Linked DNA regions of Zea mays. The protein of the gene in region 1 interacts with the protein of each later gene in a pairwise test. Links are inferred from orthologs where the notes say so. Each region holds a gene or a part of one and is shown on either strand. Other genes may lie near its edges.

Region 1 (2,532 bases):
TGCTTCTATCCTAAGGAAGCATTTACATCGATTGGAGCATCCTGGTGCTGCTGAACAGGATGTGGATTCTGAGAAAGAAGTTGATAATAAACTGGAGGATGAAATGCATGAGGACGAAGGTTGACCTTCTTTTATGATTACTCAATCAACTATGTTCCCAAGATAATGAAGTGATTTCTGATATATGTTCTATTTGTAGATGATAAACGATATTCACCTGAGCCTATGCCTCAGCAGACAGATAACGAATTTGAAGAGGCAGATGGATCCTTTTCTCCACAGCTAATGCATGGCAATGAAGATGAAGATGCAATTGATCCTGAAGAGGACAAAGCTGAGCTGGTAGAGTCCTGTTTTTTATTTCTTATTAAAATAGAAACGTGATTGGAACTGTAATAGTTATTTGCTGAAATGCAGTTAACTGAGTAGTTTAATTGTCAAGTACAGATCATTAGTAACCAGACTCCAATTTATGCAACAAAGTAGGCTAACCAACAATATTAGGACAAAAAGTTCTACTGATATTTTTTTCATTAGGACAACCTTTCAAACTGCTGCAGGCCTCCCTGCATCTCCTTCATTGATTCATTTAGCTCCCATCATTTTTACCCTAAGAGAGGGCTTAAATTTGAGGGCTTTCAAGTGTTCATATACAAACACAATGAGTGAATGTTTTTCTTACGAACAAGTTATTAGGATTCATTTTATGAGTTGATTAGATAATTAGGATGAGGGTGACAATTCATACTTAATGCTTTTATATAATAATTTCCAGGACCGAAAACGTGAAGCTGTAGTTTTGGAGCATCAAAGAAAAGTTCAGGAAGCCATGAAAACAAAGGCAAGAGTACCTGATGAGATGGAGATGAAGGCCATAAAAACAATGGGAGCTATGGAGGAAGGAGATGCAGTATTTGGTGCCGGTGCTGAAGTGAACCTTGATTCACAGGTTTGGATCATTTTTCTTTGATCCCATTGCATTTTTAGCATGGCAACATGACAATAGTTGTATATCTATGTTGTCCAATATTCTGCCTTTGATACTGAATTAGTGGGAGAGTTTTCAGAACTCAACAGGGATATGGCATAACTGTGACAATTTTTTTACTGTCGATCCAGAAGGATCGATGATTATCTGCACCATATATAACATACCATAAGCTACACCAAAATTTTCAAATAATCTGTTGACTCATGTAATTTATAGTTGAGTATATTTTGACAGTTTAATATAGGTCTAATGCCATATTTGAGTTTGATACCATGCATGGTAACAAGCTTACACACAAGAAGCATTACTTAGCAACTTTGGTGCATCGTACTGCATGTGAACTCAGCTAGTTTCTGATGGCATATTGCTTGTTCAATATACTTGCAGGTGTACTGGTGGCACGACAAGTATCGACCAAGAAAGCCCAAGTACTTCAATCGGGTGCACACTGGATATGAATGGAATAAATACAACCAGACTCATTATGACCATGATAACCCACCACCGAAAATTGTCCAAGGCTACAAGTTCAATATATTTTACCCTGATCTTGTGGACAAATCGAAAGCACCAACATACAGTATAGAGAAAGATGGAAGCGCCGGAGAGACTTGCTTCATAAGATTTCACGCTGGACCTCCATACGAGGATATTGTAAGCGTTTGTGCCTTACAATGTTTTGTTCTATTCTTCTGTGGCCTTATCCATGGGCGGTATTTTCACTTTGTTTTGTTCCACAGGCTTTCCGTATTGTGAACAAGGAGTGGGAATACTCACACAAGAAGGGGTTCAAGTGTACTTTTGAGCGTGGGATTCTCCATCTCTATTTCAACTTCAAGCGTTACCGTTACAGGCGCTGAAATGGCTCAAGAGGCAGGGGAAAACTGGATCGATTGGACTGGTGCGTCATGATTCTGCTGTATGCTGTGGCATGGATACCAGTCGAGTATGTATCTTCAGTATAATTAGGTACTATGCTAAATGGGAACACACTTTTTGGTTTTACTGACTGATTCCCCCCTTTTTTGAGGTTGTACAATAATACAGCATAGCAAGCTGATAGTTTTCTAACAAACTAGCATGTAGTCTGTGCTAACGCTAAGATCTCGGTAATGAGAGGGGTTGATGGCGGTGGCAACACGAGTAAGAGGAGGGGTGGCGGGGTCGCTGGAGAAGAGTGATAAGGGATGATTCAAATAATAGTCTATTGGATTTAAAAAGGGAGAGGAAGTCATCCACTAATTTAAACCGTTGGTTTTAATGGCTTTTAAGTTTATGTGTAATTTGTTTGTTAGATTTAGTGGAGGTTATAAGTGTGTGAGTGATTTGGTTGGATGATTTTTGCAAAGTTTAAACGGGTGGATCTTAAACCCAACCGACCATAGAGCGCTCCCACCCTTATATGCATCAATTGTGTTTAATTTCGATGCAATCATGGAAGCAAACCAAAAGCCATGGCTGGCCAGTGGCCATATCAACAATGAAAGGTTATGCTGCATCCAGGAACAATACTACAGAAACATCCTGTAATGTAGCCGATA
Region 2 (4,047 bases), on another chromosome or scaffold:
TATGCCCTCGAAAGAGAATATCCAGACGCATACTGCATACCACATTGCTCCATCGCTCGGGTGCCTAAGGTTGTACAGCTTCTAGGAGCTTCTCATACACTTGCCGTGCAGACAAATCCTCAACCTTAGAGCAAAATCCCAAGTATATTTTTAGAAGAGAAACAATAGTAGATACATGTAAAAAAATTGCGGGAAAGAAAAATAATATAGGATTCAGTTCAGTGCATCAGAACTGGATACTATTAGCAGTAAGAACTCACAATTAGAAGCTTAGATTTGTTATTCCATCCTCTTTGAAGGGTCATCTGAGTCAGTCTTAGGCCAAGAACCTGCTTTCACAAGCCATCAACATGGACATCTTCACATAACAAGGTTGAAAATCGAAACTGGTTATTGTCAAAGGCTAAAACCTTCCCAGTTATAAATAAGCCCCCTACTGGAAAATGGCTGCCTCAGAATTTAGACTACCAACTAAATTTGTATAAATTTATAACCAAGGGCATACTTCTTTGTATAATTTGAGCATAGATTCAAAGACATTTTAACCTACACTTATTGCATGTGATGGCACGCTGGAGCAATCAGAATATCACTTTTTACAAGGCTCAAAGTGCACAATACCACACCACAATAAGATTAGAGTGTCATTGAAGAAAATCACCTTGCCCATAAATTCTAGCAACTCACTGTTAGCTTCCCCTCGAGCAGCAAGGGCAGCTACCGTTACTCGAACGTCATCAGCATTCACTCCTGAAAACACACAGAATTCTGTCAACACATTGTATGCACCAGTGAACTCAAAGAAATAGTGCACACCAATGTCCAATCTACAATGTTTCACATGAAACTGTCAGTGCAGCCATGTACAACTTTTCATCATAAACATTGCATGTTGTAGTTTCAAAAAAAAGATAGCATACTACATTGTTAAAAAATGCATACTTGTTATTGCTGAACGTTGTGCCCGGTCTTCCACTTCAATGGCTACTTGGACAAGTCCACCTTCCAGTTGTGTGATGCAAGGAGGTACAGGAGCATCCTGCAGTTTTACGATCATTAGACCTAGAAAATACAAGCAGGTTGAATTTAGCTAAGGACTTTCTGCTGATGCGGTATATACATGTGGATTTGTCTCAGCAGCAACTGAACTCAGTGCTCCGTCAATAACGTATATGAAAGGGGCAACCTCCAGATCCTCTTCTGATCGGTAACAAACAAAAAGGTCACATCCCACACAGCTCATGCGAAACTGCTTTTCAAGCTTTCCTTCACCACTGCATGAAATATATAATTACATAATCACCACAATCTGAAGTATAACATGGTAGTCACTTTGGAATAATAACCCTGAAGGCTTGTTTGGCTGCACACCTGGACTACAATCCATCCCAATGCATATGTATGAGGTGGATTAGGATGGAAATTAACTAGATTTTAATCCCAATCCACCGCAATACATGTGAATTAGAGTGTAGCCAATCAAGGCCTGAGGTGGGTTCTTTCAAAGGAGTATGCATATAATTGCAGATCATGTTACATAAATAATTCCCATAGTGTATAATAATCCTGCTACACTATTGAAAAATCTGTAAACATATTGAATTGATGAGGCCACAAAAAGATTTGTTTCTCCTAAAAGAAAGTGGTGCACACATGTAGCCAAAATACCACCCAATTTCTTAGTTACATACTATCTGACAACTTAAGATATTCACCAGCATTTAGAATTTACAGAAGAACGTACAAACACAAGACATTAGATTTGATAATCAGAACATAGTTACAATATAAGTGAGGTGAAGAACTCCAGTACGAGTATGAGGGATATTATTATACCGTTTCAACATTACTTTTCCTGCCTCCTTAACATTTAGCCTTGAAAGATGCTTAGCCTTGTCTAAAACATGTGCTCTGTCAGTCTTTCGCTTGGGCATTTTCTGCAATTGGGTATCTTCAGAACAAACATATCAGAATGGAATATACAAAAAAATCATTCTCGAATTGTTTATACTAGTACTTCCTAAAAAAACAGTAGCAATTCCTAGTGACACAAATTAAGAAAAATCTGCTGCTGATGATGAAGCATAAACTTTAAAAACGTTTTTGGAACATGAGGTTTTACAAAATTTGTCTACTTTTAGCTTTTAGTCTATTTGATGAAAGTATTAATCAGCCTGCTATAAATTAGATTTGCATGATTTGTTCCCTTCACTCGCTGGTACAATTACATTTGTGCAATACACACACTAGATGCAGACTAACTAGACTAGTGCTACAGTACCTCCACAGCTAGAATACAAACGAAGAAAATTGAAGTATGCAGAGAAATGTTGTCGTGTGGTCTAGAACTGGTAGCTAATTTTTTCCTAGATAAAAACTATCCCCTCCTCGAAGAGTTCAAAGCTGAATCTTCCGCTTGAATTTAAGGACCCAACCTCCCTTAATTCCTAGCAGACTACCAGATCTGAGAAAATTAAGCGAATGGGGGAGGAGGAGCTGACCGGTGATGAGGACATGTGAGGCGCAGTGCTTGCAGTAGTATACGAAAAGGTCGGACTCGGGGCCCTCCGGCAGTGCGTCCTCGCTCGAGTAGGTGTGTGTCGTCCGCTTCGGCATCGCCCTCCCCTCCGCCGCCGCCGGGATCAAGAGGCGAGGCTTTCAAGGTCAGGCCTTATGGGGCAAGGGATATTCAGGCGGAGGCAATCGAGCGGCGGCGACCGGCGACGCCAGCGCCAGGCTGGATGAGGGATTCGAGTTCGAGCTGTCGCCTCCGAGAAAGAAAGGAGCGTCGGAGCCACGAGAGAAGAAAAATTGATAGCAAACTTCTATATCACTCCCTATATTACTCTCTTTTTAAAACTCTATTACGACAACAATTAATATGCAATCAGACCTTATATACAAGTGTGTTAGTACGTTAGATTATGATCCAACTGTAAATATAATCCTGATTTATTATGAGGTTTTCTATAAATCTGCACGAGCTGGTAGTGGAAAGGTTTAAGGTGCCGTTTGTTTCACGTATTGGTAACGTAACAGGTAACTAATAACGTTAAATCATGTTTGTTTAAATCCAACCGTAATCGATACTACACTACAAATGAATATCGCCTTATTCAAATTTATTAAAAAAAAACTTGACCTGCGGGGGTAAGACAGCCCCCGAGCATTGTGTTAAGAAGAAGACCTTCTCACACAGGTCAAGAAAACCCCCGAACCCCTGCCCCACCCATACACAGCGGCATCGAAGTACATGTGAGAACGACCACGACCGGGGCTAAGCCTTAGACCTGTGCTTTGGAGTGGGACAGACGAGGGGATTTTTTTAACCACAGCCTGAAATTCGCTCCCACGAGGAGTCGAACATAGGACCTGAGGAGTGCTACTCAGACCACCTAACCAACTCAGCTAGAGGCCCTTTCGCCGATATTTAAGTGTGAATCGTTACCATTACTATTTACGTTACATTTCGCGAACCAAACAGCACCTAAGTGTTAAATGTGATATATAGTTGGATCGTGATCTAACATATCAGTAGCCTCGCTTGCATGCTACACATATGGTCTGATTGCATATTAGTTGTTGCCCTCTATTATATAAATAATGCAATAAATTATAAAACAGTTATAAGGTTTGCTAGAGATGAACTTATGTTGTGCTCAACACATCTTACATCTGGTCATGTGAAATATTATTTTCACTCTATATAGTATTATTTATAGAGTATATAGTATTATTTATAGAGTGAAGATTAAAATAAAAAAATAAAATAAAATAGGTTAATAGTATTCCTAGAGATAGGCTTGCCTCTTGGGTTATGACCACCAGATCGTATAAATAGTATTGCAAAACATTGTCCTGTATTTGGCATAGTGGAGCTTAAAATAGGATCGGAGGATGAGTAAGTTGTTAGATATAGTCTCCCAGGTCCAACGAAGCTCCTGTATCGCCCCTACTAGGGATGTAAATGGTACATATATTATTCGTTTGTATTCGAATTTGATCCATCTGAGATGGCTGAGATCTAATTTGTATGACTGTATCCGA

The links. The genes of interacting proteins can lie anywhere in the genome.
Region 2: the proteins of Cactin (region 1) and uncharacterized protein LOC100193457 interact in binary tests that used the Arabidopsis thaliana proteins (3 or more experiments, as listed by UniProt). The link is inferred for Zea mays from reciprocal best matches to the Arabidopsis thaliana genes AT1G03910 and AT5G63440.

Annotation. Positions count from the first base shown.
Region 1 is NC_050096.1:296,052,739-296,055,270, forward strand, and holds the end of Cactin, read left to right. Parts: coding exon 1-119; intron 120-199; coding exon 200-342; intron 343-775; coding exon 776-949; intron 950-1,378; coding exon 1,379-1,645; intron 1,646-1,731; coding exon 1,732-1,851; 3' UTR 1,852-2,028; downstream 2,029-2,532. UniProt on the Arabidopsis thaliana protein: Plays a role in pre-mRNA splicing by facilitating excision of a subset of introns. Required for embryogenesis.
Region 2 is NC_050102.1:32,853,837-32,857,883, reverse strand, and holds the start of uncharacterized protein LOC100193457, read right to left. Parts: upstream 2,817-4,047; 5' UTR 2,617-2,816; coding exon of another isoform or gene 2,517-2,616; coding exon 2,502-2,516; intron 1,952-2,501; coding exon of another isoform or gene 1,938-1,951; coding exon 1,837-1,937; intron 1,275-1,836; coding exon 1,121-1,274; intron 1,040-1,120; coding exon 943-1,039; intron 751-942; coding exon 662-750; intron 359-661; exon of another isoform or gene 330-358; coding exon 261-329; intron 125-260; coding exon 65-124; 3' UTR 1-64. UniProt on the Arabidopsis thaliana protein: May play a role during early embryonic development. Probably involved in pre-mRNA splicing.